3 linked regions of the Macaca mulatta genome follow. Each later gene encodes a partner of the first gene's protein in a complex. Links are inferred from orthologs where the notes say so. Each region holds a gene or a part of one and is shown in the gene's direction. Other genes may lie near its edges.

Region 1 (10,797 bases):
GTATCACTTTTTTTACGAAACATCAGGGATGAGGAATCCCTACTATATTCAAGATTGACACTAACAAAAATGTTGGCAACACACACCGTAAGGAATGATATTTATGCAGCATTTTCCTAGCAAAGTAAAAGTGTATGGCAACAAATCTGCTTCTTTTGATTTAATCAAGAGAAAGAAGGAAAGAAGTAAGGTAGGAAAGGAGGGAGAGAGAAAAGAAAAGAGGAAAGGAGGGAATTAAAAATACAGCAGTAGACTGGGCGCGGTGGCTCATGCCTGTAATCCCAGCAGTTTGGGAGGCCAAGGTGGGAGGATCACTTGAGCCCAAGAGTTTGAGACCGGCTCTGCCTGGCAACATAGTGAAACCCTGTTTCTACAAAAAATTTAAAAATCAACCAGGTGTGGTGGCATGAAGCTGTAGTCCCAGCTACTGGGGGGTGAGGTGGGAGAACCACTTGAGCCTGAGAGGTCAAGGCTGCAGTTAGCCATGATTGCACCACTACACTCCAGCCTGAGCGACAGAATGAGACCCTGTCTCAAAAAATATATAAAAATATATTAAATTTTTTTTAAAAAATCAACAGTCACAAATAACAGAGATGGAAAAATAGTCGGTGAATAGCATGGTGTGTTTTGGAGTGTATTTGTCTGTCTCCTTCATGGATGAAAAGGTTGAGAAATATTCTATGTGTGGCATCCAGCACTTAAAATATAAAGAAGACATGTATTATTATGCTGTTCCTGAGTTATGAGATTCAATTCCACACTGATAAGCATATTTCACCTATTTAAAAATATAATACAAAATATTAAACTTGTTACATTAATTATGATCATATTTATACCAGATTGAATAGGAGGCAGGGTTCCCTACAGGACTAAATAAACTCAGTTTAATAAACTAAATTCACCTACCCTGGCTCACACCTCCTCTGTCACCCAGCTGTAAGAGAGACTCACACAATCACCAGAACCTTCTCTCCTTCCTGAGACGTGTTGGTCACAGTTCCTGCACCTTTTTATTGCTTCTCCATGACCTGGTATCTGCCAAAATATAATCGATGGTGGAAAAATTTTTGCCCCCAGCCCCATATAAATATATTGTATTTCCCCAACTACTCACAGACTGAAAGCTTTCTGAGGACAAGAAGCCTGCCTTTCATATTGTGAGATATGCTCCCAATAATGGGTACATGCCGAATATTAACTGGCTGCTGATGGAACAATGAGTTTTACTGTACCTCTTTATCTACCTTGCACTCTTGTTGCCAGTGAGCAAACCACATCCTGGAAAGGATTTTCAAATGGAGAAAAAGCACTGAAAAAGTAAATTTCCTCATTTGGAACAAAGGTATGATTTACTATGTACTTAGCCCTCTCTGAGGACCACCCATGTAATTTCTCCACTGAATAATTTGTGAGGTTACCTCTCCTCTGCCCACTAAATGATTTGAAGGTAGATTATATGAGAACTCATCTTTTATCACACAATATCATGTATAATGCTTAGCACAAAGTAGGAACTCAGGTATTGACCAAATCATTATTCATTTTAAACTCATGACAACTTCAGGAGCAACGTGAAAGATGAGGAAGAAGGTAGAAGCTAGCCCGCTCTTGAACTTCTATGCTTGGTTTAGCTCTCCTGACTCAGTACCACAGATTCTGTCCAGACTCAGTGAATATTGAAACATAATAGACATATGATTTGTTTTCAGAGATCAAGGTTGAATTTATGCAACAAGCCTCTTTGTTGTAACAGAGTTTTCCCTTTGTTGATTAAATTGTTCCACTTTCTTCTCTTTTGCCCCAGGCAATGGATTTTTTGTGTGTGAAACCAAGCTTTTAATGAACCAAGTTCATTAAATGTATTAATCATATACTATCTCTTCAGAAAAAAAGGCAAGAGATTGATCTTTAATGTGGCATAGATGTATTTCTAGATTCTAAATATTTAAACAGGGTAATAGCACTAAAAAGAAACATTTTCAACCTTCTGATTGGCAGGCGGATTTTTCTCCACATTTCAACGTCATTCAAACTTAATACAGCTTGCAGATTTCCTAGTACAGTGAAGGTGCTTAACGCATAAATTCCTGACAGGATAATTTCCTGGGCAGATGGAATTTGGGATGGGAGGAACACTAGTCTAACTAGGGTACCATTCAAGAATGATTTAGATGATGCTCTTAATATTACCTTTGAAACTGAAGGAACTAGAACACAGACCATGGTAAATTGTATTTTAATTACTCTTTACCCCACTAAACTTCAGGATTTTATTACTTTAAGATTGTCACTGGCTTTACTTGGTGGTGGCCCCAGTTCTGACTACAGTAGGTCAGTCAGCATGTGGAGTCATTATAGACAGCCTAAATCTATACAGCTTAGAGGAGCACAAAATAAATATATCTTACTCTTTATTAATTCAATAGTGATTATCCAATCATCTCTCCTTTTTCGAGACTCACAAAACTTTTGCCTATTTTCTGACACTTATAATATCAATCTGTTTCTAAAAGAATTGTGTACATTTTTATATTTATTACTATAATTTTATTGTTACTACATCTTTTATTATTACTGTAATTAGAATAAAGAGAACTTTATTCTTTAAAATGAGAACTGTGTCTCATAAATATTTGTATTCATTGTGCCCCTCCCCCACCACCCATCTCACCAAAAAATTTAAAAAATAAAAATAAGGCAACAACCCAGAGGGCAGCCCAATGCCAGAGCTCTAGGCTTCCAATAAGTTTTTGTTGAATTAAATAGATCATTTCCCATTTATAAGCATGACATCATTCTTATACACCAGCTTTACTTTATTATATCTATACACCAATTTTAATGACGTCAAATTCTCTAATTCACTTCCAGCTCTTCTTCTCCTCAAGGTAGTTTCTTATCTCCCTAGAAGGGGTATTGTGTGGTCCCGTGCAAGGTATGACTTGGGAGCAAACCCTGCGTTCGGAAACATTGCGATATGATATACTAATGAGGAAGTCAGGCACTAAGCCCTAAGGGTTTCTATTGCCCCGCATTAGCCCACCACTGAGAAGGGAGAACGGGGAAAGGCGACTGACCCGGTACGTTGGACCCTGTCCGCTTTGGCCCCGGCCACTTTGATCTCAAGCGTCTGCCTAATCAAGTTCATCTACTGCCGCGATTGCCCTGATTCAAAGAACATTAAATGGTTTGATTATCGGACGGTCATTTCCCTCTTCCCTACAGCACTGATCTAATTTCTAAACCCCAGTCTCTCGCCTCCCTCTCTAAACTTCCCATCAAAAGAGAATTAGCTCTTCTTCCTTCTTACCCTCGTTTGATGTGCAAATTTCCTTCTCTTTGCACATTTTTCTCGCAGAGGCAGGGGGAGAGGGGGAGGAGGGCAACTGAACGACCTTAAACCAGGGATTTAACTCAGATCTGCAAACCGCGACTCTGAAGGGTTAATGAGCAACTTGCACCCGCCACCTGGCCCTCTCAGAGGCGTCTTGCTAGAGCCATTGAATTACAGATCGGTTTGTATTTAATACTGAATATGACTTGTGCGCACAGTCAGCGAGTATTGGCGTAAGGGAGAGGTGCAAAAAGTGCTTTTGCAGAGCGTATCACCCCTCGGCTCTGAAAAGTATTTCAGATCTGGATAATTCAACCCTTACTGCCAGTCAAGGGCACCCAAGTTCCCAGAGTTCCTCCTGCCGCCTGCATTTATTAAAGTCGTCTGCTATAATGCTTGCTGCTAGCCGTCACCCCGAAGGTGAGCCGGGCCAGCCGAACGACCAAGCAAGGGAGGAGCGGGGTGAAGAGTGTCAAAGGCTCCCCTTCATGTACACAAACACACCCCCTCCCAGCCCCTCCCAGCGCTTTGAAATCCCATCCCGGCTTTGTTGTCTCCCTCCCAAGGGGCCGGAATGCTCCGGGCCCGCGGTATAAAGGCAGCCGCGGTGGCGGTGGCGGCACAGAGCTCTGTGCTCCCTGCAGTCAGGACTCTGGGACCGCAGGGGGCTCCCAGACCCTGACTGTGCAACCGCACCGGCACGGTTTCGTGGGGACCCAGGCTTGCAAAGTGACGGTCATTTTCTCTTTCTTTCTCCCTCTTGAGTCCTTCTGAGATGATGGCTCTGGGCGCAGCAGGAGCTGCCCGGGTCTTGGTCGCGCTGGTAGCGGCGGCTCTTGGCGGCCACCCTCTGCTGGGAGTGAGCGCCACCTTGAACTCGGTTCTCAATTCCAACGCGATCAAGAACCTGCCCCCACCGCTGGGCGGCGCTGCGGGGCACCCAGGCTCTGCAGTCAGCGCCGCGCCAGGAATTCTGTACCCGGGCGGGAATAAGTACCAGACCATTGACAACTACCAGGTGAGAGGGGTCGGGCAGTCAGAGGATGCTCTGACCTTGAAAGGGTCCTATTTGGAGAGGAGGGAGTAGAACGTGCTGAGTGTGTGAGGTTCAGGGAGCATTTGGCAACCCTGCAATTGGGAGCAGTGGGCGGTAGCAGGTTTTGGAGAGGTAGACAGATAGGGACTGTGATCAGCGCCCGGGTCCAAGAGGGCGGGTACCTGGACGTCTGGATGCCTCACCCTCTCCCCGAACCTTTCCCACAGCCGTACCCGTGCGCAGAGGATGAGGAGTGCGGCACTGATGAGTACTGCGCTAGTCCCACCCGCGGAGGGGACGCGGGCGTGCAAATCTGTCTCGCCTGCAGGAAGCGCCGAAAACGCTGCATGCGTCACGCTATGTGCTGCCCCGGGAATTACTGCAAAAATGGTGAGTCCTGAAAGCTCCCTTCACACTAAAACTGTCCAGCCTTTGAGCGTCTACGAATAGGGGGGAAAAAACTCCGCCCTGAGAACTCTGTGGCGCCACCTGCAAATGGGTCTTCAGCATGCAGGATTCCGCTGAAGTATCTTCATTGCAAGTGTTTAATCGGGAAGAAGAGAGAAGTTCGGAGGTCTCTGAGGTCCTTATCTTCCTCCGTGGCCCTCAATGATTCAATGCAACGGCTCACCTCGTAGTGGACCATTCCATAAAAATTTGTCTGGGAGAACCTTGAGGTCAATTGAGAAGAGAGATGATGGGGAGGACGATGGGATCATACAGAGACCAAAGAAACCAGCTTTGGCATTCTGCTACCCTTTTCATTTTTCTTACTGTGACTCTCACGGCTTTGCCAGATTGGCCTCTCCTGATTTTTGCTGAAACTGTTGTCAGCCAGAGGACAGTGATTTATCTGCATGGGCCATTTTTAAGAGAGATCTTGATATCCTCACAACCTGACCCCTCCATCCTTCCCCCTCCCTCTACCCTCTGCTGCCTTAATATAAGTACTCCTCCCCCCAACCACAGATCCACTAACTTTTAATTTTTCAAAAGGTGGATTTAGACAGCTAAAGAGGTCTCCAGAAATAAGCTAACAGGGTGACGACCCGCCTTAGGACCCAGCAGTACTCCAGGATGAACTAAGTAAATCTCTGTAATATGGAAATTACACAGTGAAGTAACTGGTGGGTGAGATTGCAATGTCCCAGGCAGCTGGAATTGCGTTTGCTTAACTTAGTCTGGCAGGACCCATATAGCACCAGGGGCAGAGAAGTTATTTTTAAGAACATTTTTTAAAGCGACTGATTTTCTTTTTCTTATCCCAAGGGTAATATTAAAATGGGCAGAAATCTCACTTGCCCCTACCACAGTTGGTGGGAAAGTATTTTAAATGGCTATACTAGGGATATTACATATGACTGACTGTATACAGTATACACATTTGTGCTTCTGTCCATCTAGAGAGTTTTGCATTAACAGTAAAGAGGTTTAAAATGATGTCACTGCAATGAAGTATCTCAAGTTGGTGCTGGCATGACAGACTGCCACTGTCATAGCTGTCAGCAGTAATGCATTACAACCCTGAAGTTAATCACTATTTCCTGCTTCTTTAGGAATATGTGTGTCTTCTGATCAAAATAATTTCCGAGGGGAAATTGAGGAAACCATTACTGAAAGCTTTGGTAATGATCATAGCACTTTGGATGGGTATTCCAGAAGAACAACATTGTCTTCAAAAATGTATCACAGCAAAGGTAAGGATGTCAAGACTCATTCTTAGCACATCAAAAATGTCTTTTGAATTGTTTTAGTGAAATGATGCAGGTTTAACAGTAACTATGTACTTTTTTCCTGCTGTCTTCTTCATAGGACAAGAAGGTTCTGTGTGTCTCCGGTCATCAGACTGTGCCACAGGACTGTGTTGTGCTAGACACTTCTGGTCCAAGATCTGTAAACCTGTCCTCAAAGAAGGTCAAGTGTGTACCAAGCATAGAAGAAAAGGCTCTCATGGGCTAGAAATATTCCAGCGTTGTTACTGCGGAGAAGGTCTGTCTTGCCGGATACAGAAAGATCACCATCAAGCCAGTAATTCTTCTAGGCTTCACACTTGTCAGAGACACTAAACCAGCTATCCAAATGCAGTGGACTCCTTTTATATAATAGAGGCTATGAAAACCTTTTATGACCTTCATCAACTCAATCCTGAGGATATACAAGTTCTGTGGTTTCAGTTAAGCATTCCAATAACACCTTCCAAAAACCTGGAGTGTAAGAGCTTTGTTTCTTTATGGAACTCCCTTGTGATTGCAGTAAATTACTGTATTGTAAATTCTCAGTGTGGCACTTACCTGTAAATGCAACAAAACTTTTAATTATTTTTCTAAAGGTGCTGCACTGCCTATTATTCCTCTTGTTATGTAAATTTTTGTACACATTGATTGTTGTCTTGACTGACAAATATTCTATATTGAATTGAAGTAAATCATTTCAGCTTATAGTTCTTAAAAGCATAACCCTTTACCCCTTTTAATTCCGGAGTCTAGAATGCAAGGATCTCTTGGAATGACAAATGATAGGTATCTAAAATTTACATGAAAATACTAGCTTATTTTCTGAAATGTACTATCTTAATGCTTAAATTATATTTCTCTTTAGGCTGTGATAGTTTTTGAAATAAAATTTAACATTTAATATCATGAAATGTTATAAGTAGACATGCATTTTGGGATTGTGATCTTAGACGTTTGTGTGTGTGTACGTATGTGTGTGTTCTACAGGAACAGACGTGTGACATGGTTAAAGATGATCAGAGAAAAGACAGTGTCTAAATATAAGACAATATTGATCAGTTCTAGAATAACTTTAAAGAAAGACGTATTCTGCATTGATAAACTCAAATGGTCATGGCAGAATGAGAGTGAATCTTACATTACTACTTTCAAAAATAGTTTCCAATAAATTAATAATACCTACCTAAATGGTCAATATTTTTTGGACAAGGAAGAAAATCATCCACAAAAATAACACTCCAAAGTACTTGGTGATTGGCGGGAACAGGAAGTGTGCCCATAAATACAGTTAACAAATACCTGCAGATTTTGTACCCAACAAAATAATTTGCAGTATCTTAATTACTACTACATGCAAAGCAGACTTATTCTAATTATTTTGGTTTTAAAATAATTATTCATTGAAAATCACAAATCCTTCTTCATTCCACTCTTTTTTCTCTTGCTCGGTGAGTTTAATATTTCAAATTTTGTTTAACCTGAAATCTATTGATTGGAATGAGGATAGGGATACAATATTTTAAAGAAAACCCACAGGAATGAAATCTAAATTTTCTTTGCATTTTTACTTGCCAGATTTCATATTATTTATACTGAGGAAAAGGGAAAGCAAACTTCCCAATTTACACTTTTTTTGTAGTATTCTAAAGTCTGCACCCAAACCACAAAATGCTGCGTTTTGGGCCTGCAAAGGATAGTAGTGACTGATCAATCAATCGTGCAAATATTTCCTTAAATAATGCAGATGTACTAGACTGTTTGTTGTTTTTGTGTTCCTGGAAGTCGTTCAGTTTCAAGGGGCTCAACCAATGGGACACAAGCTTTGGGTGGTTCTTCACTGAAAGAGGAACTGGCAGGATGTCTGCTGTTACATTCCTTTTGTCTGGAATTCTCAGCTTCCTCACCCAGGAGAAACTTTCTTTTTCTACATTCGCTTGTTTTCTGAAGTGCCAGAAAGGCCAACTCTAAGGCCTGCCATGTCCAATAAAGCACAATAAAGGAAAGGAAACAGGAAACTTTTTCTTCAAAAAGAAGAAAGAGAGCATTCTGCTTAAATGGGGAAAGAAGCAAACTTTTAAAGGGCTCTGGTTATTGGATCCTTTCCTTTCTACAGGAACGGACCTCAGTACATTGACCCTAGTGATAGCCTTTCTTGCTTCTCATCTCCAGATGAGAGATGTGTGGAAGAATACAAAACAAACCAAAGATGGACACCTCTTCTTCCTATCCAGATGAGAAATTAGGAAGGGATTTCCATTAAAAAGAATTCTTCATATTTGTAAAGGTGAAAAATACCAAGAAAATTGTAGATTTTTATTAGCTAGTAATAGAGGCTAGAAGATGGAAATCAGATAAAATACAAATTCAAAAGAGGATTATTTAAGGAATCTAAAACAATTTGGGTAATGATTGTTTAAAATGTCTGTTGTTGTTGCTGTGTGACTTTTAAACAATGTATTTTAATGGAAAATACATGCACCTGGGAAAATTTCACAAGGTATTTTATCTAATGTCAGTATACTCTACACACTGTCCTGCACGTTGCTTTTTTACTCTATGTGTCTTGTAGATCATTTTATATAATACATAGAGAGGTGACTCATTCTTTTTAAAGGTTACATTAAGTTTGTAGTTTGTTGGAATGGCAATACTATAATCATTTTAACCAGTGACGTTTAAGTTGTTTCGAGAGTTTTTGATCTAACAAGTGATGTGTCATGAGTATAGAATTTTCATGTTCATGTGCTAGTATAGTTATAGGATGACTAATATTTGAAGCAAAGTCCAAAATGCATGCTTTCTGCAGCTACTAATAAAGTCTGGTATGAGCAAAATGTCCAGATGCCTGCTTATCACTGACCAAGTGATGATTAAGCTGTTGCTAAACTGTATCAAAGAAGAAAAAGGGAAATACAGGCTTATCCTAAAAATTTCACAGTGAACAGTAATCTCTGGCATTCAGTTAAAGCTAGACTTGTTCTAATTACTTTGATTTTGAAATTATTACTAAATACAATCACAAGCCTTTTCTCACCACTCCCTTTCCTTGTTTTGCTAGAAGAGTTGAATATTTCAAACTTTGTCTAATCTATTGATAGGAATGAGCCTGACCCTTCATTTTTAAATTGGTGACATTATCAAACTTTATCATGTTACCAACTTTCTTTTATAGTCTTAAAGAAAAAAAGACAATACTACCACTAGGCTTATAAAGTGTCTTCCATTGATTTCTGTGATTGCAATTTTCATACCTTCTAAGATACTATTCTGAGGGCAATGTCGAATTATAAAAGAAATACTTTATCTTTACATTAAAGAAGAAAATACTCTCATAATTTAAGCTTTTGATACTTGTACAAAAGTGTGGGTACGTATGTGGTCCTTTATATATTGAGTGTAAGGTCGACAGCTTAGAAATGGTCAATCGCATCAAAAATCTAGGACTACTATCTAGGTAATGCTAAGAAATTTTAATTCAATATACATGTATTTAGTCTGCCATGTCCAGTGGGCACTATGCTAGCATTTGAAAAGATGCGTATAATATTGGTCTTTAACTTCAAAGAACTTACTATTTAGCAAGGCAGACGATGAGCATTAGTGCTGGAAGTTGATTTAGTTTAGTGGTTAGAAACAGTCTCTAGAACTGGATAGATATGGGATTGAGTCATGGCTCCCTCAGTAATGTAGATATGAGAGTAATGCATGCATCAGAATACTATTATGTCTAGCTCAATGCAGTCACTCAATTTTAGGTCTTTGCTATTGGACAATGAAATGTATATATTATGTTGTATTATCTTACATACATTAATACCTGACAACAGATTAAAATTAATTAAATCAGTCAGTAACTACTCAGAAAAAGCTTCTGAGAAGAGGTGGTATTTGAACCATTGCCTTCTCTCGCCCTTTTATTTCAAGGAAGCAAAAGCACTTAAACTAGAAAAAGGAGACATGAGTTGATACCACTCATTAGAATCAGGATGGAAAGCATTCTGCAGACTCACTTACGATTTATATTCCATTGTAACTTGAAATGTCTACCACTTGCCACCGGGACAAGCAAAATTCTATCCCCAATATATGTGATCATGAAGTGCAGTTCTGCTCAGTAAATTGCTTAGCCTTTCAGAGACTCTTTTTTTTTTTTTTTTTTGAGATAGAGTCTTGCTCTGTCGCCCAGGCTGGAGTGCAGTGGCCAGATCTCAGCTCACTGCAAGCTCCGCCTCCCGGGTTTACGCCATTCTCCTACCTCAGCCTCCCGAGTAGCTGGGACTACAGGCGCCCGCCAACCCACCCGGCTAGATTTTTTTGCATTTTTTAGTAGAGACGGGGTTTCACTGTGTTAGCCAGGATGGTCACGATCTCCTGACCTTGTGATCCGCCCGTCTCGGCCTCCCAAAGTGCTGGGATTACAGGCTTGAGCCACCGCGCCCGGCCCTTTCAGAGACTCCTACTCCAAAATCTTGAGTGAGGGTTCTGATTAGTTTATCTTTAATCAGGGGTTCACCTCTGGTTCAATTGTCTAGCATGGCTACCCAGTTCCCAATATAAACACAGCTGTCTATATCCATTCTGCCTGTAATAGAAACTATAGTAGTTCTAAAAGAGGAATGTGTAGGGACAAATCCCACATCTCATGTCTATCACAAATTAGTTTTGAAGGATGAGAAGGCATTTACAAG
Region 2 (10,727 bases), on another chromosome or scaffold:
TCATGTTTTCTAAAAGTCCTCTTAAACTCTGTGCCTGAGGCACATACTTCACTTGCCTCATTCCAATCCCAGCTCTGTCCACTCAGCATTTGGTGACAGAACCCTATTATTTTATTTTTTATTAATTATTATTATTAATTTTCTTTTCTTTTCTTTTTTTTGAGACGGACTCTTACATTGTCGCCCAGGCAAGAGTTCAGTGACACAACCTCGGCTCCCTACAACTTCCACCACCAGGGTTCAAGCAATTCTCCTATGTCAGCCTCCCAAGTAGCTGGGATTACAGGCATGAGCCACCACTCCCGGCTAATTTTTGTATTTTTAGCAGAAATGTGGCTTTGCCATATTGGCCAGGCTGGACTCAAACTCCTGACCTCAGGTGATCTGCCAGCGTCAGACTCCCAAAGCAATGAGATTACAAGCATGAGCCACCGCACCCAGCCTGTTACTATTAATTTTAGAGACAGGCTGGATTGCAGTGGCTCTATCCTAGTTCACTGTAACCTCAAACTACTGAATTCAAGAGATCCTCCCACCTCAGCTTCCCAAGGTGCTGGGATTACAAGCGTGAGCCACCACACCTGGCTTAATGACAGAACAAGGAAGCATTAGGTACAGTAGTAAGCACCTGTAGCCCCAGCTACTAAGTCTGAGGCAAGAGGATTGTTGGAGCCCAGGAATTCGAGGCTGTAGTGTGCCATGATTGTGAATTATCACTGCACTCCAACCCGGGCGACATATCAAACCCTGTCTTTTTTTTTTTTTTTTTTTTTTTTTTTGAGACAGAGTCTCACTCTTGCCTGGGTTGGAGGACAGTGGCACTATACATGCTCACTACAACTTCTGCCTCTTAGGTTCAAGCGATTCTCTGGCCTCAGCCTCCCAAGTACCTGAGACTACAGGTGCCTGCCAGTACGCCCAGCTAGTTTTTGTATTTTTGTAGAGATGGGGTTTCACTATGTTGATCAGGCTGGTCTTGAACTCCTGACCTTGTGATCCACCTGCCTCGGCCTTCCAAAGTGCTGGGATACAGGTGTGAGCCACCGCACCTGGCCCAGCCTGGTACTTAAGAGGGTAAGACTAGGGTTCCACTGCCTGGGTTCAAAGCCCAGCTCCACCACGATGTCACCTTTGGGCAAGTCATTTAATCTCTCTTTGTACTGGGGTGGGTGTGGGCTGGTAAGAATGCCTCCCTCACAAGGTTACTGGGAGGATTTTGTGAAATGCAACCATGGACGCCCTGCACAGCCTTAGTTGAGTCCGCAGTAAACGTTTGCTATTGCTGTCACTATAATCCGGCCCCCTCCTCCAGGGCTTTCTCCATAAAAAGACTGTCCTTTGAGTGGAAATCATCCCAACTGGAGTTTCAAAGACACTTGAATGACCAAAACTCCAACATCGTAGGTCTCCTGGCTTCTTGACCAATCCTGCTGCCCTCGGAGGAAGAAAGGGGCCTGACTTGCACAGTGCAAACAAACGGACACCAACATCTTTCTGGAGGCCCAAGAGCTGCATTCAGCGTCCTCACTCTTTCCATGAAATAAAGCTGCTAAACACCCCAGGCATGTAAAGCACTGAAATGAGTATCCCGGGTTGCTCTCTGCCAGAAGCCAGGACCACATAGTGGAGCAAAAGACCTTGAGCTGTTAAGCGCCATGACCTAGACACGCCGGGCTGTATTTTTAGCCTCTTGTGCACTGTTTCCATCACCTGTGCTGGGCTTTCAGCTGGAAAAGAGAAGGTGGGGGTGGAGAAGGCTAGAGGGATGTTTCTTACCGCAGCCAGTGCCAGGAGGAGCTTGCCAGGATTTCCGAGTCCTGTTGTACAACAGGGCTATTTTCATGGGTGTGCAACAGGTATATTAACATAGGCCCCCTTGCTACTTGCTTGGAAGGGCCTCATACATGCTTTATCTTTTTATCTTCTGCTGTCACTGTCTTGAAATTCTTTTTTTTTTTTTTTTTTTTTGAGATGGAGTCTTGCTGTGTGGCACGATTTTGGCTCACTGCAACCTCCACCTCCCAGTTTCAAGCAATTCTTCTGTCTCAGCCTCCTGAGTAGCTGGGATTACAGGCGCCTACCACCGCTCCCGGATACAATTTTTTGTATTTTTAGTAGAGATGGGGTTTCACCATGTTGGCCAGGCTGGTCTCAAACTTCTGATCTCAGGTGATCCACCTGCCTTGGCCTCCCGAAATGCTGGGATTATAGGTGTGACCCACGGCGCCTGGCCTGTCTTGAAATTCTTAATAAGTTTGGACAAAGGACATACGTTTTCCTTTTTTTTTTTTTTTTTTGAGACGGAGTCTCGCTCTGCCGCCCAGGCTGGAGTGCAGTGGCGGGATCTCAGCTCACTGCAAGCTCCGCCTCCCGGGTTCACGCCATTCTCCTGCCTCAGCCTCCCGAGCAGTTGGGACTACAGGCGCCTGCCACCGCGCCCGGCTAGTTTTTTGTATTTTTTAGTAGAGACGGGGTTTCACCGTGTTAGCCAGGATGGTCTCGATCTCCTGGCCTCGTGATCCGCCCGTCTCGGCCTCCCAAAGTGCTGGGATTACAGGCTTGAGCCACCGCGCCCGGCCAGGACATACGTTTTCATTTCTCACTGTGCCATGCCAATTATATGGCTGGTCCTAAGGAGTGCACATGACAGAGAGAGCCAACTGGAGGAGGGGCTGCTGCCAGCCCAGGAGGGGTGCCTTCCCACAGCAGGCAGGGCAGACCAAAGCTACTATCACAGGGCATGGCTGCCCAGACTTGGCCAAATAAACCTTGTTTCCAGCCTCCTGGGTGCCCTTCCTATTTTCTTCTCTGAAACCTGAATGAGATGTCGAAAGAACCTTGGAAACTGTAGAGAACTGTGTCCTGCTTTGCTAAAGTCTTTCTCTGGCTTCCTGTTTAAAGTAGCCCAAAGGTTAGCTGGGTGTGATGGCGTGCCTCTGTAGTCCCAGCTACCCAGGAGGCTGAGGCGGGAGGATCATTGGAGCCCAAGAATTGGAGGCTGCAGTGATCCATGATCTCATCACTGCACTCCAGTGTGGGCGACAGAGGGAGGCCTTGTCTTCAGAAAAAGAAAAAGAAAAAAAAATCCACAGAGCCTTCAGTTAACATAATTTTCTTGTCTTTGTATTACTTTTTGTTCTCAGGAATTTGCGTGTTTTCAGATTGACTAGAATGTAAGTTCCAAGAGGAAGGTTTGGTCTTGGTGGCTGTGTCCTCAGCCCTCAGCAAGTTCCTCGCTGAATATTTGCTGAACAAAGGAAAGTTCGACTTTATTGTTTGCTTTGGGCTGAGGGCTTCACCTGCATCTTCTCATTTCATTCTCTTCAAAGGCACTGCTGTCTGGGAGGGCACAGAAGTCCCAGAGTAAGGGTTCTCAGGTCCGGTGGAGAAGGTGGGAAGGGCCCAAAATTGTGGAAAAGGGGAAAGCTGGACAAAAATGGGGATCACCGGTGGTAGGAGGTGGGGGGCTCCCCAGGACCGAGGCTGGCTGGGTGAGGGGATGGTGGGTGCCCCTAAGCTCCAATAAGAAGATCAGAGGGTCCTTGAACTCGGGAGTGACACATGAAAACAATAACTGGACAAGATTCTTCTTGCTACAGCGCTGAGTAGTGTGGGTGGAGAGGGACAGAGATTGAGAGGCCTCGTGGGAGGTAGCTGCGCCCTTCGGGCCCGGACCTGAGAGCAGCCGTGGGTGGAGAAAGGAGTATGGGGGAACGCGGGCTCTGGGAGTGGGCAAGGGGGCGGCGCCCGGGGGTTGAGGGGGCCCAGGGGCGAGTGTACCTAAGGCGGGCCTGTCCCGCCCAGCCGCGCTCTGGGTGCGGCGAGTCTGCACACTGGGGCAGATGTTCCCGCCGCCGCGCCGTGCGCAGGTCTGCACTTGCAAGCCCGGGACCAGAGACTTGAAAGCTGCCGGCGCGCCGCCCAGACCTGCCCCGCCGGGCGTCACCGCTGCGCTTTAGGCGGGAGCTGTAGGAAAATCCCCTCTGCCTTGGGGGAGGGCGGGGGAGGAGGACGGCCCACGACCGACCCCGGGTGAGGCAGGGAAAGACCTTGCCGGGGTCGGCGGGGAGGAGGGCAAAGGGCCTACCACACCCGGGCCGAAAGTTTAAGCAAGCCGCGCGCTCTCTGATGCCTAACATCCCAGGCTGTAGGATAAGCAGCACTATCCCATCCATTTCTGGTCGTTGCACTGGGCGTTTTACTTGCTTCTATCTCATCGACTCCTCTGAAGGCCTTTTATTATTCCTATTCTGCAAACGGCTGAGCCTCGGACACATCAGGAAACTTGCCCTAGTTGAAACTGGCTATGTGATAAGATACGGAACCAGGGGGTCAGTATGTGGCTGCAAACTTGGGGTGGAGAAAGGAATTCAACATTTGCTGAGCTCCTACTGTGCGTGCGTAAAAGCTTCCATGCTTTCGTTTTGTTTTGTTTTTTGAGACAGGGTCTTGCTCTGTCACCCAGGCTGGAGTGCAGTGGTGTGAACAAGGCTTGCTGCAACCCCGACCTTCCGGGCTCAAGCGATCCTCCTGCCTCAGTCTCCTGAGTAGCTGGGACCACTGATTTATTTTTTTTTTCCTGTAGAGATGGGGTCTCACTGCTTTGCCCAGGTTGGTCTCGAACTCCGGGGCTCAAGCGATTCTTCCGTCTCGGCCTCCTCCCAAAGTGCTGGGATCCCAGGATTTGTTAGCCACAGCGCCCGGCTCTAGGCGTTCTTATTTAGTGCAACCGCTCTGGGGAGTAGTAGCTATTATCACCTCCATTTAACAGATGAGGAAATTGAGGTAAGAGCTATTTTTCCTTTAAACATGTCCAAGATCTTACAGGTGACCAAGTGGGATGTGAACTCTCCAAAGCATTCTTTTTTTCACCATTACGATGAGCTAAGCAAGGGAAAACAGCTTGCAAACTGCTGTTGTAATTATTATCGCTGTAGCTGAGCTCGCGTGTGGGTCACGACCCGAGTGAGGGTGGAGGAGGGGTCACTGGGAGCCCGGCCTATTTCAGCCCGGCCAAACCGCTTGGTGACTTGGAGGCCGGGCCGAGGCCCCGCCCTCACCTGCTGATCCCACCCGTGAATGGGACAAACAGAGGGCCCTGAGGGGCGGGCCCAGGTGAGGCGAGGGATGGGCGGGGCCTGATGCGTGAGTGGCAGGAGAGGCACGCGGCCGGGGCGGGGCGTGCGCGCGCGGTAGGCTCCGCCCTCCGGGCCTCTCCGCGGATCCAGGCGGGCCCCAGGCTGCAGGGGCGGTGGCGGCGCTGAGCTGGGCGGGCCTGGGCGGGGCGGCCGGGCAGTCGGGGCGGGGCTACACTCGGGCCCCGCGTCCTGCTCCCATGGCCGCTCCCGGCTCCCCGCGCTGCCCCCTTTCCCCCGGGCCGCGCCCCGGGGCCCCGCACTGACGGCCCATGGCGCCGCCCGCCGCCCGCCTCGCCCTGCTCTCCGCCGCGGCGCTCACGCTGGCGGCCCGGCCCGCGCCCAGCCCCGGCCTCGGCCCCGGACCCGGTGAGTGTGAGCGACCCCCGCCGCCCGCCCTGAGCGGAGCACACTCGAGGGGCGACAAGAGCCGGCCGGCCTGAGGGCCCCCTCCCTCCCACCTCAGGACCTTTCGGGCCCCTTCCCAGGGCCCCTCGGCGACGCCCCTCAGGCTGGGACGGTCCCTCCCTGGGACCTGGGCTCCCCCCAGGCCCGTCATCGACGCCCCCGGGCCGGGTACTGTCCCCCGGCTGCAGGACCCGGTGCTTCTCAGCGACGCCCCTCAGCCCAGGACGCCCCCTTCGCCTTGAGACCTCCAAGGCCCTCCGCGACGCCCCCCGGGCTGGGACATCTCCTCTGTCTTGGGATCCGGGACCCGCTGCCCGAGTCCCTCAGCGACCCCAACCAGGCTGGGACGCCCCCTCTCCCCGGTACCTCCTGGGATCCCATCCCAAGTCCCCAGCGACTCCCCCCCGGGCCGGGGCGACCCCTGCTCCCCGGTACCTCCTGGGATCTCGTCCCAAAATCCCCAGCGACTCCCCGCGGGCCAGGACGCCCCCTGCTTCCCGTTGCCTCCTGGGATCCCGTCCCCAAGTCCCCAGCGACCCCTCCCGGGCCGGGACGACCCCTGCTCCCCAGTACCTCCTGGGATCCCGCCCCAAGTCCTTCATCGACGCACCTTGCACTGGGACGGCTCCCCTGCTACAAGAGGCTACATCCCTCTCTGCAAGACCCTCAGCGACATCCCTCCCCCGGGCCAAGGTCCCCTCCCTGAGCCTCACTACGACGCCCCCGCGTCCCCCAGTCCTCTCCTCCCTCCTACACCGGTGGAACCCGGCGCCTCCCCGCACAGAGCAGAGCGGAGGCGGGAGGAGCCGGTGCTCAGCCCCTTTTCCCGAGTCCTCGGCTGCACCCGCTTGGCGGACATTGTAACTTCTGCCTCGCGAGGAACGGGATGGACTTGTTCGCCCTGCTAGAGGCAGGTTAGGGTCCTGGGACGACCTTGTACCCAGACGGACGGGACGTGCCCTCTCTCTCCGCTGGGCCGCTTTGAACTTCCGTATGACTTAGGTGATGGCGCAGCAGGGGGAGAGGAAAAAGGAAGCGGTGATGGGAAACTTCTCCCCTACTGAGCTTAGGGTGCTCTTCCTAAGGGTGCAACGCCGAGCTCCGTGTTTCGGTCACCCCACACCTTAGACAGGTCACTCACTCCCCAGGCCAAGGCCAAGGCCAAGGCCAGGTCTTCCCGAGGGGGGCTCTGGTCCAGGATGAAGCTTGGACTTTGCTTAACTTCCACACGCAACTTTGTAGCCAAATCCTTTCTGAAGTTGAAGAGAAGGCAAGAGGGCGTTGCATTTCTCTGCAGGTTGTTCGGATGTTGAGCATAGGACATTTGTGAAAGGGATGGGAAGAGTTTATTACCAGTCTGCAAGAGTAGGAAAACCCGCCTCTGGGTTCACCACCCAAAGTCACAGACTGATATTGGAAAGGATGGGATTTTGCTGGTGTAAGAAAACTCAGAGTTGCTTTGTTTACTTATTGGCTTGGATTAGCGAAAAAGCTAGGACTTGGTATTGTCACTTACTGCGTGACTTTGGGCCATGCCTTCAGCTCTCTGAGCCTCAGTTTCCTCATCTGTAAAGACAGGATAACTTTGCAGAGTGTTGTGAATATTAAATGATATACTGTAGGTAACATACCCACATATAGGAGGGAGTCAATAAACATATTTTAATAATACTTTTATAGGACCTCACAGTTCATCGAGTGCTAGACACCTCATTTACCCTGGGAGTGCTAAGAGCTTTCTGTCTGATTCATTTCTGTAAAAGGCAAAGCTTGGCTTTAAACTGGTAGAACTGGGGTCTCCAAGTGTTGTAAACCTGAGGCTCAGTGAGTGGTTTCTGAGTGATCACTGCCTTTTATGGGACTTCTACAGTATGATCGCTTCTACTGTTGTGAGGAGTGACGGACATTCCGAGAGCCAGGATATGTCAACATAACTGTAACCTAGTAACCCCTTAGCTCCACTTTGCTATCTGTGTGGTCAGGATTTAATGTCCCCTACAAAGAGAGAGGTATGGGTGGAAATAGACTGGTTCCCCTTCTGGAAAGGGCAGAGTAGTAGCTCTGAAAAGCATCAAGTGAGCCAACTCTGCTTAAGTTTGTTGGAAGCTATTCTCTTCCCAGATATCTTTGCTTTTTTAAGATCAAATGCAGCAGCTCTTATGAAGTTTGCACCCCAAATTTTGGTGTACTTTTATTTAGGAGTCTGGGGTAAGGGCAAATAATCATTGTGAAATGATTTGTGATAAGTGGCCCAAGTTCCCAATTCACTGAGCCTTGCCAGCTTGGTGTCTTACCGTCCTGGTAACTCAGTGCTTTGCTTTTTTGACTTTTCCTGCCTAGTTGCAGAAGCAGTTTTAGGGAGATACCACATGGTCTTCACCAACACATCCTGTCTAGATCCTACCCACTAGCTTTTAAAATCTTTTCCAATAAAACACACACACACACACATTTTACTCTGAGGATATGCCAAACTTGCCATTTTATATTTTTTGATACTGTAATTTTCTCTAAAATTTTGTGGATGGAAAAAATTATTTCAATATTTGTATTCTGCGCAATTTTGTAATATTTAAATTACTGGTGGTTTGCATTTTTGAATGCTGACTTTATAAAAACAGTTAGCTCATTCCCCATCAATCCTACTTCTAATTACAATGTGTACCCAACCCCAAATGATCTCCCTTTTCATTCTTCCTCTAAGATTCTCTTCCTTCCTTCACAACTTATAAGAAGGAAAATAGAAGGTAATGGAATCTAGACTTTCCTTCAAGGAGGAGTGCAGCTAGGGCCATGCGGTCGATGGGTTCTCTGTAGTGGGTCCCATCTGGAATGTATGGAATTTATGGTCTACTCACTTGGGTGTTTTACTACCTTTAGGGTCTATCAGATGCGCATCAACAGAGCTTCTCCACTCAGGTTATGTTTGCTGTGAATACCTTTTATAAGTTTATAGATTGATGCTCATTCTCCTCTAACTCCTCATCTGGAATTTGCCCCACTAGCCAGTAGTGTGTTTGCCATAAAACCTATGAGTTCAGTTAACAGCTAGAGTTCATACTGTCTACCAATTCTTGGCCTTCTTAGGGACTTCATTAATGCTAATAGAATTATCTGTAAGCAATATAGGGGCTGAAGCAGTGAAGGAGTGAAGGGTGCACACCAGTTACTTGTATGCTCTGAGTATTTTAAGAAACACCATTTCGACGTGGTATCAGAGACCTCTGATATTTTTGTGAAAATATATTTTGGCCCCTAGGCAAACTATTTAAATCTTTGAGGCCAGGCGCGGTGGCTTACGCCTGTAATCCCAGCATTTTGGGAGGTCAAGGCAGGTGGATCACCTGAGGTCAGGTGTTCGAGACCAGCCTGGCCAACATAGTGAAACCCCATCTCTACTAAAAATACAAAAAATTAGCCGGGCATGGTGGCGGGCACCTGTAATTCCAGCTACTTGGGAGACTGAGGCAGGAGAATTGCTTGAACCCAGGAGGCGGAGGTTGCAGTGAGTCGAGATCGCACCATTGCACTCCAGCCTGGGCAACAAGAGCAAAACTCTGTTTCAAAATCAATCAATCAATAAAAAATATTTGAGGTAGGCAATGAGCCCTTTTATAAATCCTAAAGCAAGAAAGCATTCCTTTTAGGCTCACTACTCATAAACAGAAAGTTGATACACTCAATATAGATATTATTGATACACTCATGGTTTAACATAGTTAGACCAAAAACAATAAATTAGTAAGATGAAATACATTGTTTTAAATAGCTTCACAATATACAGATTAGGGATTTTTGGTGATGGGGAGTATACCATCCTTAATTTAGAATTTTTGAGTATGGAAATGTCAACTGATAATCTAGGTCAGGTATGGGCAAACATTTTTTGTAAAGGGAAGATAGTAAATAATACGAGATTCATGGGACTTACACTATCTCTGTTGCAATTATTCAACTCTGTAGGGCAAAAGCAGCATAGACAAAAGATAAATGAATGGATGTGACTATGTTTCAGTAAAACTTTATGGACACTGAAATTTGAATTTCCTATAATTTATTTATTTATTTATTTATTTATTTATTTATTTATTTATTTTTAGGGACGGAGTCTCACTCTGTCACCCGAGCTGAAGTGCAGTGGCGCAATCTCGGCTCACACTGCAACCTCTGCCTCCCGGGTTCTAGCAGTTCTCCTGCCTCAGCCTCTCAAGTAGCTGGGATAACAGGCGTGCATCACCATGCCTGGCTAGTATTTTATTTTTAGTAGAGATGGACTTTCACCATGTTGCCCAGGCTGGGAATTTCCTATAATTTTTATGTTAAAAAAATACTGTTCATTTGATTTTTCAAAACTAAAATATTTTTTAAATTATAGATTTTTAAAGTCTTAGCTTGTGGGCCATATAGAAGTAGGCAGTGAGCCAGATTTGGGCCACAGGCTGTGCTTTGCCGAGTTCTGTTCAAGGTCCATGTCTTCTGATTTTTTTCAGTGTTCACTGGTCTAGAAGAGGTGACAAGGAGGCTTGATTTTGGTGAACGAATGAAACTTTTACCATTTACTGTTAACTAACTTTAAGATACATATGGGAGAAATGGTTAAAATGGTAAATTTTACGTTATTTTTTACCACAATTTTTTTAAAAAGATATGTATGGGGAGAAGTTCATGCACATACATTTGGGTCTTTAATAGGACTTTTAGACCAGGCGCAGTGGCTCACGCCTGTAATCCCAGCAGTTTAGACGACCCAGGTGATTGGATCCCTTGAGCCCAGAAGTTTGAGACCAGCCTAGGCAACATAGTGAGACCCCATCTCTGTGAGACCCCATCTCTACAAAAAATAGACAAAAATTAGCCAGATGTCGTGTAGTCCTAGCTACTCAGGAGGCTGAGGTGGGAGGATCACTTGAGCCTGGGAGGTCAGGGCTGCAGTGAGCTGAGATTGTGCCACTGTACTCCAGTCTGGGCAACAGAGCAAGACCCTGTCTCAAAAAAAAAAAAACCTTGAAAATGTCCTAAAGAGAAATTCAGCGTGGTTCAGTGTGCACTACATAAATAGTGCCTGCCTTGGAACTGGCCTATGGTTTGTTCAACTGTGCCTGCAGATGTTGCTTAGAGCAAACCGTTGAGAGATCTATTTCTCAGAGGAAAGCCCAGGCAGCAGGTGGCACCAGCCCTGACACA
Region 3 (10,217 bases), on another chromosome or scaffold:
TTTTTTTTTTTTTTTGAGACAGAGTCTCGCTCTGTTGCCAGGTTGGAGTACAGTGGCACGATCTCTGCTCACTGCAGCCTCAGCCTCCTGGGTTCAAGCGATTCTCCTGCCTCAGCCTACCTAGTGGCTGGGACTACAGGTGTGCGCCACCACGCCCAGCTAATTTTTTGTATTTTAGTAGAGACAGGGTTTCACCATGTTGGCCAGGATGGTCTCCATCTCTTGACCTCGTGGTCCGCCCATCTCAGCCTCCCAAAGTGCTGGGATTACAGACATGAACCACCGTGCCTAGCCCGCTGTCCCTATTTTATTTGCGAGAACTTGCTTAAGGGTACCCACTGAGTGATAAAGCTTATATTTGAATCTGTTTCTGCCACAGTATTACTTGCTGATCATGAGAAATTTTTTAGAGAGTAGAAGAATGAAGAGAAACTGGTAAATAGACACAGAATTATGTTTACTAAAAAGGTCTTGGAATTGTGGTATTTACTATTTTTCTCACAATGATTTTTAATTTAATTCTTACCTATTTTCTTTCTTTTTTAAAATTTTTTTCCTAGGCTGGAGTTACTTAGGCTGGAGTGCAGTGGCTTGATTATAGCTCGCCGCAGCCTCAAACTCCTGGGCTCAAGCGATCTGCCTGCCTCAGCCTCCTGAGTAGCTAGGACTACAGGCTTATCCCACCATACCTGACTAATTTTTTGGTATTTTTTGTAGAGACAGGGCCTTGCCATTTTGTCCAGGCTGGTCTTGAACTCCTGGGCTTCAGTGATCCTCCTGCCTTGGCCTTCCAAAGTGCTGGAATTATAGGCATGAGCCACCATACCCAGTCCCATTTTCCTAATTCATACTTAATCATCCATCTTTTGTTTAAGCTATTTATCAAAATAAACAAAAATGTTGTAAAGTGATATAGCTGAAACAGAAAAGATTTTGTTAGTTGATCCTGTAATAGTTTTGAAGTAGAAATATAAGTGTTATTCTTTAAAAGTTTAATATTGGACATCTAGTTTATGCTTTTACACCAGCAAATTTTAATAGGAAGGCCAACATTTGAATGTAAAGATCAGCAAAATTAGTGTAATTTATTACATGTAAGATAATGCAAAATAAGATAGAACTAAATCTGAGAATAAAACCAAGTCAGGCATATTTTAACATACCACAAACTTGGAAGAAAGTTATATTTTAGTGTTGTATAATACGGAATATTTATCACTCTGTGTTGGGTGCTCCCTGATAGACTGATTGAACTGTCCCTAATGCAGAACATAGGTTCACTGTTAAGTATATGACATTTTAGATGAGGTAGCAGTACAGTTAAGTATATGACATTTTAGATGAGGTAGCAGTACATGTTCCTGGAAATGCAGTTGGAAATGCTGCAGTAGAAACTGAGAAGATCTTGTTCTGTTCTGAAAGATGGAGCAAGCCTTCCAGAGTCCCATTGTTCAAGTCCCTACCTGAGACCATTTCTGCCACTTAAAGGGGCCTGTGTGCTGGGCAAATTAGCCTTTAGAAATGTTATTTCATACTAAAAACATGTACGTGTGAACAATATCTGCTTCTACCCTGCAAAAAAGTATCAGATATAATCTTACATGCAAATATTAGTTATATTATGTCAATAAAGGTATCCCAAGTTAAGTCAACACTGAGTAGTGCATGGTGAATGCACTGTGAATGCAATATGAATGCCAGAGTGAATTTAATAATGTTACTATTAGGTAGTTGGAAAGAGAAGTTACATCCTAGTTTCTTGAAACTTAGATGCAGAGAGGGTGTCATATAATCCAGATAGACTTTTGTGATTATAATCTCAGGAATGAGAGATAATTATTGAGATCCGTTTTATCTGTTGGTTGTTGTTACTGACAATAACAACAAAATAAAAAGCACGCTAAGTGGAAAGAGTCCTGAAAAAGACATCAACTGTGTTTACAAGCTCTGTGACCTTACATGAATCTCAGTTTCCATAGGCAAAGCTCTCAGGATAAAATAAAATATGTTATAAAACAAAACATAAGATAAAACAATGTATGTGAAGGTACATTATAATTTGAAAATAAATGTGCAAACTTAAGGTGATGATACTGTATTTTTAATTTTGCCACAGTCATTTAATAGAAGAGTTGCATAATCTAAAGTTGACAGAATTTTTAGAAGGACGAATAATATGAGATTGGGGGGAAAAGTGGTCAAATAGAGGCTTATATGGAATATTTGAAATCATTCTTATGAAATCATCACGTAATTTTGAGAAATCATTGTAATAGGAATACCAAGATGACTCTTGGATTTTTATACAACAGGCAGTTGGATTTATTATTTTTGCATGAAGAATAAATACATCGTTCATCCTCTTCTCTTTTGAATTTAAACCTGAAGGTTATGAATACTGATGGCACTGGGAGACGAGTACTAGTGGAAGACAAAATTCCTCACATATTTGGATTTACTTTGTTGGGTGACTACGTTTACTGGACTGACTGGCAGAGGCGTAGCATTGAAAGAGTACATAAACGAAGTGCAGAGAGGGAAGTGATCATAGATCAGCTGCCTGACCTCATGGGCCTAAAGGCCACAAATGTTCATCGAGTAATTGGTAAGTAACTCCAAAGCTTTCTTAGAAACGGAAACCAGGAATGAAAAAAGATGGAGATAGTCAGCAGTGTAAATTATTGATGTTTTGAGGCAATTTAGAAATCTTCTTTACCCCCTTCTTTTTATACTAAGAAGGGACCTTTTAAACGTTGACTTTACTACTCTAGCTACCCAGGTTTGAATTGAAGGACTGAATACATATGCACAGGCACACCTTCATCCAAAGAATTCCATCTGATAGTATGAATAACATACCTTATTTTAAAGCTTACTATGGATATTAAAGGAAAATACTTCACCATGCTTTTACTCCCTATTAATCTGCATATTATTTGTTTGTGATATTAGAATTGAAACTTGAGATTGGGAGCAGATAGGCATTTGTGAACCAAAGGCTTAAGTAATTTAAAAGTGAAAATATGTTGAATGTGTCAATGTGTGTGTTCTTCTGTGCCCCTTTTATAATTAATCTTTTAGGTTCCAACCCCTGCGCTGAGGAAAACGGGGGATGCAGCCATCTCTGCCTTTACAGACCTCAGGGCCTTCGCTGTGCTTGCCCTATTGGCTTTGAACTCATCAGTGACATGAAGACCTGCATTGTCCCAGAGGCTTTCCTTTTGTTTTCACGGAGAGCAGACATCAGACGAATTTCTTTGGAAACAAACAATAATAATGTGGCTATTCCACTCACTGGTGTCAAAGAAGCTTCTGCTTTGGATTTTGATGTGACAGACAACCGAATTTATTGGACTGATATATCACTCAAGGTTAGCAAAAGAGTTGGAATATTAAAGCTAGGGACTAAAAGGGAGAACTTCTAGAATTTCTGAATCTTCATGCTGTGACGCACCTCCCTCATTGCTTGACAGGCAGAGTTCAAGAAAAACCCTCAAGTTTTTTTTTTGTTTTGAAACGGGAGCCTCGCTCTGTCACCCAAGCTGGAGTGCAGTGGTGCGATCTCAGCTCACTGCAACCCCTGCCTCCCAGGTTCAAGCGATTCTCCTGTTTCAGCCTCCCAAGCAGCTAGGACTACAGGTGTGTGCCATGACGCCCAGCTAATTTTTGTATTTTTAGTAGAGATGGGGTTTCACCATGTTGGCCAGGCTGCTCGAACTCTTGACCTCATGATTCGCCCGCTTCGTCCTCCCAAAGTGCTGGGATTACAGGTGTGAGCCACCGTGCCCGGCCAAAACCCTTACGTTTTTAAGTGAAGGGAAAGGCCCGTTCAGTATTTTATTTAGATGCTTTTTAATATAAGATACTTTGCCAGAGTGTTTTAACTCTCCTAGCCGTAGTCTTCCTCTACTTTCTTCCATTTGAAAATGATGAATGACATTTTCTGCAATTAGCTGAGTAAGGAAATGTGTGCTTCACATAAAATGGCTATTGATTTACTTTAAACAAAAATTCTTGATTTACTTTAAACAAAATTTTAGGGTCTGACTGAGGCGGAAAAGGCCGACAATGAGTTACTCTTTATTTTCTTCTTCCTAGAATAGTTACCGAAAAGAATACCAGGATAGCCAGAGAGAGGAAGCTCCAGACCTATAAATCTGAAGAATAATCTTTTCTTCTTCCAGATTGTTTTGGGCTTGTTTCAGATAACTCATGTAAACTTTTTTGTAATGTGCGAAAACATGGGGTGTTGGAGTCAGAGTTGGATTCTAATGGTGTTCAGTTAAATTTATTAAGTGAATAAATGAAATAAATATTGGTTTGCATTGGGTGATCTTCTAAATTTCCTCATCTTGAAAATGGGGGGTGGCCGGATGTGGTGACTCATGCATGTAATCCCAGCACTTTGAGAGGCTGAGGCATATGGATCACCTGAGGTCACGAGTTTGAGATCAGCCTGGCCAACATGACAAAACCCTGTCTCTACTAAAAATACAAAAATTAGCTGGGTGTGGTGGTGCACACCTGTAATCCCAGCTACTCGGGAAACCGAGGCACAAGAATCACTTGAACCTGGGAGGCAGAGGTTGCAGTGAGCCGAGATCATGCCACTGCACTCCAGCCTGGGTGACAGAATGAGACTAATTCTCAAAAAAATAAAATAAAATAAAATAGAGGTAATGCCATACTTGCAGGACTGTTGTATTAAATGAGAAAATCTGTGGACAAAACGTACTTAGGATAATATTTAATAAGATGTAGTATCTATTAGTTTGAATTATGATTTTTAAAACTTTTATGGGGCTCAAAGTTATAATGGTAGTATAATGGTTACATTCATTTATATGGTAGGCATGATGACTTGCCATAATCTTAAGCACCTTTTGAAAATTGACTACTTGTTCTGTGAAATCCAGTCTCTACTAAAAATACAAAAAAATTAGCCGGGCGCCTGTAGTCCCAGCTACACTGGAGGCTGAGGCAGGAGAATGGCGTGAACCTGGGTGGCGGAGCTTGCAGTGAGTGGAGATTGCGCCACTGCACTCCAGCCTGGGCGACAGAGCGAGACTCCGTCTCAAAAAAAAAGAAAGAAAATTGACTGCTTGTTAAGATCTGTAGCATTGCGGTCACAGCTTTTCCACTTGATTACCGATAAATTTTAAAAGTAAAGTCATTCTGCTGTTAGTAGAATAAGTTTTTGGTTCTTTAGAGTTTTAACATTTCCCCACTGAGTTGGCAGTAAAACTTGAAGTTGCATTTATTAGAGATTCACATCAAATTTTTCTGCACTTGCAAGTTATGTGAATTTTATTAGGAAATAGTATGCCTCTTGTCACTTCTGGATCCTCTTGCCCCTGACAAAAACCAAACCAAACCTTCTTTCTGGATTGGGTTTTGACTTATGCCATATGACTTAGTTGTTGATGTTATTTTACAGACCATCAGCAGAGCCTTTATGAATGGCAGTGCACTGGAACATGTGGTAGAATTCGGCTTAGATTATCCAGAAGGCATGGCAGTAGACTGGCTTGGGAAGAACTTGTACTGGGCAGACACAGGAACGAATCGAATTGAGGTGTCAAAGTTGGATGGGCAGCATCGACAAGTTTTGGTGTGGAAAGACCTAGATAGTCCCAGAGCTCTGGCGTTGGACCCTGCCGAAGGGTAAACAGCTTTACATGTGCATTCTTTGCAACTGCAGTGTACATTTTGGGGAACATGGCATAGTTATAGATGATATTCTTAATGTTTTAAATAATACTTCTTAGGAATCTAAGAACTAAATGATAGATGAGCTTTTAAAAACACTATTGATATTTTGCTGATTTGAATAAATAATTATTAGCTAATTTTACTTTTGTCATAATTAACTTTAGGTGAGGAAAGAGGGAAATGGATAATCAAATGTTACTGATGAGTATATTGATATGTTAAATATATATACCAACAGGTATTATGCATCTATAGTTGCTTGCACTCCTTTCCGGTTATACTAGATTTCAAGCCTATTGAAGTAAACCCACTGAAACAATGTTGTGAGCTAAGAAAAAACTACGTTTAAAAAGCTTTATTTTGGAGTATTTATTAATTCAAAATGGATAGTTTGGTTTGATCATTATTATAAACTGGCAGTGGCGTTGTTATTACAAGATAGACTAAACTGTTTACAACATGACGTTTTTCAAGGGCGGGTGTTCCTTTTTACAAGAGTCAGCACATTTTTTAAAGCCAGCAGCTAAGAAATCTGAAATTTGAAGAAAAATTCCACTTATAAAAGAAGTCAACAGGCTGGGCGTGGTGGCTCATGCTTGTAATCCCAGCACTTTGGGAGGCCGAGGCATGGGCGGATCACAAGGTCAGGAGTTTGAGACCAGCCTGGCCAACATGGTGAAACCCCGTAACTACTAAAAATAAAAAAAAAGTAGCCAGGCATGGTGGCATGTGTCTGTAGTCCCAGCTACTCAGGAGGCTGAAGCAGGAGAATTGTTTGAATTCGGGAGGTGGAGGTTGCAGTGAGCCGAGATCATGCCACTGCACTCCAGCCTGGGTGACAGAGCAAGACTCTGTCTTGGAAAAAAAAAAAAAAAAGAAATAGTAGTAAACAATGTGAACATATAAACATGTTTACTATATTTGCTACTTAAAATAGTTTCACTGAAATGACATTGATTCCATGATTAGAATTCATCTAGTCAGCACTGACATACTGTGGTGATCTTTGCTCTAAACATTAGCTGCCCGACGGATAAATTTAATAGTTGAGACTAAAGACTCTGGTATTGGTTGCTGCTGGCAAGTATGAAATTTATCTCTCAGTTGTTTCTCTTTGGCTTTTATGGTGTGCACATGCCTGTCAATTGACAAATGCATATAAAGGCAGGACACCTTCAGTTTTCAGAAAAGCATGTTCATGCTTTGCTACCAAGTCAGCTATCAGCTGACAGGCTGATGAGTGAATATCTGTCCTCAAGTATTTCGTGAGAGCTGGCATGTGAAGTGCTTTTTCAGTTCCAATATTCAAGAGTCTCAAAAACTAGCACCTCACTAGTTGACTTGAAAAGGGCATTTGGCCAAGGATTAGGTTCTAGTTCCAGCTCTGTCGTGTAACTGGCTTGAAGACATTAGATAAATTGTTCACATTTCTTGTAGTGTTTTGGCCTGTTCATCTATAAAAAGCCTATACTGTAGAATTACTGTAAGATTAAAGTGCAGAACTCAAAAATGGAAAATAACAGCAAAATAATTATTCTAAAATTTCACGGATTGTTGTAGTAGTGTAGTGTTCATTGCCCAGTGGACACATCGAGGGGTGATGTGTTGTTCTTACCATATAGTATGCTCCCTTGGACTCTATGACCAAATACATTTTCAAGCTTTGCTTTTGACTTCAGTTAAAGGGTTAGTATTTATAATTGTCTTTCATGTACTTCTGCAACTTATTTTGAGGAAAAGTTGATTACACAAGTCAAAAAGTAAGTTCAGCATATTAAAAACTCAAATTAGTTAATATTCAAAAATATATAAAAAATTTTACTCAGAAGTGAACCAGATTCTGAGACCAGAGCTTTAAACCTTTGCTGTTTTCTTGAATATTAGTTTTATAAATGCCAGTACTGCAATAAACTATTGGTTTATTTCCAATTCCTAGGTTTGGATGGAACAAATTCATTGGAAAGACTAAAGAAAGCTGACTCACTTCCTTTTTGGGATACGGAAAAAAATATTTAGTTTAGGGTGCCAAAATAATTGAAAGCATTGTAGCCATGATTTTGTTTTACCCATTTCCTTGATTTGCTATATGTTTTCTTTAAATTTATTTAGTTACTTTGCATGAATATGACCCCCAGATAATTTAAAAAATGAAATGTTAAATATTTATTATTTTGAATTTAGATTTATGTATTGGACTGAATGGGGTGGAAAACCTAAGATAGACAGAGCTGCAATGGATGGAAGTGAACGCACTACCTTAGTTCCAAATGTGGGGCGGGCAAATGGCCTGACTATTGATTATGCTAAAAGGAGGCTTTACTGGACAGACCTGGACACCAACTTAATAGAATCTTCAAATATGCTTGGTAAGCTTTACTACTTTTTACTCAGACAGTATATTCTTTCCATGCAAAAATCAGTGGCTGCTATTTATCATTGGTTAGATACTTTTAATACAACTTCATATGAATGTGTCCACTCTTCTTCTATTCTGGAATTGTATCCTATTTGTTATTATTAATAGTGATCCAGGTACTTGGATTCATCTCTTTATTATTTGAAAGTTTCATTATTATTGGACTTGTAATGAAATTTATAACTCCCTAGATACTCCTGAAATGACTTTTGTACCAGTAAAATATATATATTTCCATCTTTTCCTTTTATAGTTCAAGAAGAAAAAATGAACTGTAGACCCTTATATAGAGAAAAGAAAACCACATTTAAAGTAGACCATTTGCAAGAATTTTAGGAAACTGAGTGATTCGTAGCAGGAATATAAGTTTGAAGCATGGGGTCAGAAGATAGATTGATTCAGAGTACTGGTCTGCTTTTAGAATTGCTTTTAAATGAATTTTTCTATTTTAAATTGCTTACAATGTAATGTTTTATATGTTAGGGCTTTTTTTTTTTTCTTTTTGCCAACAAGACACTTGTATTCTCACATATTTTATCACTCTGCTTCTCCCCTGTCTACTGCCTTTCTGAAAATAGGACTCAACCGTGAAGTTATAGCAGATGACTTGCCTCATCCTTTTGGCTTAACTCAGTACCAAGATTATATCTACTGGACGGACTGGAGCCGACGCAGCATTGAGCGTGCCAACAAAACCAGTGGCCAAAACCGCACCATCATTCAGGGCCATTTGGATTATGTGATGGACATCCTCGTCTTTCACTCATCTCGACAGTCAGGGTGGAATGAATGTGCTTCCAGCAATGGGCACTGCTCCCACCTCTGCTTGGCTGTGCCAGTTGGGGGTTTTGTTTGTGGATGCCCTGCCCACTACGCTCTTAATGCTGACAACAGGACTTGTAGTGGTAAGCTGCATGTCCCTCCAAAGCAAGCTAGAGTGAGAGAAAGCAGCATTTTCAAAGTACTTTAGCGTGTGTTTTTTCTGAAGTAAAATATTGTGGGAATCCAGAGGGGATCATTTGTTTGGTTAAAGGGTAGGGGAATGCAAGTTTTTGTTACTTACTACTTGTTTGATGATAGCAATTTGATGTTATAGAAAAATTAAGTCTTATGCTGGTGCATTGTCTTATGTCCGTAACCCAACACTTTGGGAAGCTGAGGTGGGAGGAATGCTTCAGCCCAGGAGTTCGAGACCAGCCTAGGCAATATAGCGAGACCTTGTCTTTACAAAAAATAAAAACATTAGCCAGAGTAATGGTGTGCACCTGTAGTCCCACCTACTCAGGAGGGTGAAGTAGGAGGATTACTTGGCCCCAGGAGATTGAGGCTGTAGTGAGCCGTGATGGCACCACTGCACTCCAGCCTGGGTGACACAGATTCTTTCTTTAAAAAAAAGGAAAAATTAAGTCTTTCACCCTTGGACGTTAAATATTAAGTGTAAAATTTGCATGGTTTCATGCATCGTGTTTATTGTAAAGGAGTAAAACAGAATCCCAAAACACAACTTACTTGTCCTTTGAAGTGCATAGAGTAGGACATTCTTGAAAAATTTAAATGTGTAATAGGCCATACAGAAAATGCATATGAGAACATGTAACGCAGTATCAAGTAATAGTTGATAAGAAACTAAAGAGAAAATGCAATGAACATAGTAGGCAGCTGCAATTTAACTGAAGCTGATGTTTCCAGATCTTTTCATTCAGTCCTGAATCTAGATTTTTTTGTGTGTGACTCCCTCATCTCCTGATTTTTAAATACCGGCAAGTACACACACAACACTAACAAAAAAGTGTGTAACGAAACATTGTTGGCTAGGGGAAACCTGGCTTATAACCTAAATAGATATGAAGGCCCATTTCTTGGTGGATAGACAAGAACAAATTGGTAGATACGATTAAGAAATAAGTAGATTAGATCAGAAAGAATAGATTATGGGAGAGGTAGAGTTTGGGTCAATATGGTGGAAAGTAACAAACTGCTAAGGATGTTAGAGATAATTAACTATTGACCTGACACATTCTCTCAAGTACAAAAGAAAGTCATAATTCCCATAGGAAAAATTTGGTCTATTCTGATGCCAACTTCAGTT

The links.
Region 2: the proteins of DKK1 (region 1) and KREMEN1 are in contact, whole or in part, in a crystal structure (PDB 5FWW), measured with the Homo sapiens proteins. The link is inferred for Macaca mulatta from reciprocal best matches to the Homo sapiens genes DKK1 and KREMEN1. Residues at the interface, in NP_036374.1 of Homo sapiens: Cys189, Leu190, Arg191, Ser192, Ser193, Cys201, Arg203, Trp206, Ser207, Lys208, Lys222, His223, Arg224, Arg225, Lys226, Gly227, His229, Gly230, Leu231, His261; in XP_011528731.1 of Homo sapiens: Pro67, Asn88, Asp90, Asp92, Ser94, Trp96, Gly105, Val106, Tyr107, Trp108, Tyr110, Asp127, His128, Gly129, Pro132, Thr140, Asn142, Glu164, Ser165, Tyr167, Ala168, Phe170, Asn189, Val191, Phe193, His196, Asp203, Gly204.
Region 3: the proteins of DKK1 (region 1) and LRP6 are in contact, whole or in part, in a crystal structure (PDB 3S8V), measured with the Homo sapiens proteins. The link is inferred for Macaca mulatta from reciprocal best matches to the Homo sapiens genes DKK1 and LRP6. Residues at the interface, in NP_036374.1 of Homo sapiens: Glu185, His204, Phe205, Trp206, Ile209, Gln218, Val219, Thr221, Arg224, Arg225, Ser228, Gly230, Leu231, Glu232, Ile233, Phe234, Arg236, Ser258, Leu260; in NP_001401174.1 of Homo sapiens: Arg639, Glu663, Ser665, Ile681, Tyr706, Glu708, Thr724, Arg751, Trp767, Gly768, Gly769, Pro771, Val790, Gly791, Arg792, Asp811, Thr812, Asn813, Leu814, Pro833, His834, Phe836, Trp850, Ser851, Tyr875, Met877, Arg1184.

Annotation. Positions count from the first base shown.
Region 1 is NC_133414.1:97,436,994-97,447,790, reverse strand, and holds DKK1 (dickkopf-related protein 1 precursor), read left to right. Parts: upstream 1-3,932; 5' UTR 3,933-4,115; coding exon 4,116-4,358; intron 4,359-4,603; coding exon 4,604-4,766; intron 4,767-5,932; coding exon 5,933-6,073; intron 6,074-6,188; coding exon 6,189-6,442; 3' UTR 6,443-7,291; downstream 7,292-10,797. UniProt on the Homo sapiens protein: Antagonizes canonical Wnt signaling by inhibiting LRP5/6 interaction with Wnt and by forming a ternary complex with the transmembrane protein KREMEN that promotes internalization of LRP5/6.
Region 2 is NC_133415.1:22,478,904-22,489,630, reverse strand, and holds the start of KREMEN1 (kremen protein 1), read left to right. Parts: upstream 1-5,294; 5' UTR 5,295-5,407; coding exon 5,408-5,504; intron 5,505-6,153; exon of another isoform or gene 6,154-6,220; intron 6,221-10,727. UniProt on the Homo sapiens protein: Receptor for Dickkopf proteins. Cooperates with DKK1/2 to inhibit Wnt/beta-catenin signaling by promoting the endocytosis of Wnt receptors LRP5 and LRP6.
Region 3 is NC_133416.1:14,585,468-14,595,684, reverse strand, and holds part of LRP6 (low-density lipoprotein receptor-related protein 6), read left to right. Parts: intron 1-2,388; coding exon 2,389-2,605; intron 2,606-3,081; coding exon 3,082-3,371; intron 3,372-5,437; coding exon 5,438-5,664; intron 5,665-7,893; coding exon 7,894-8,078; intron 8,079-8,706; coding exon 8,707-9,033; intron 9,034-10,217. UniProt on the Homo sapiens protein: Component of the Wnt-Fzd-LRP5-LRP6 complex that triggers beta-catenin signaling through inducing aggregation of receptor-ligand complexes into ribosome-sized signalosomes.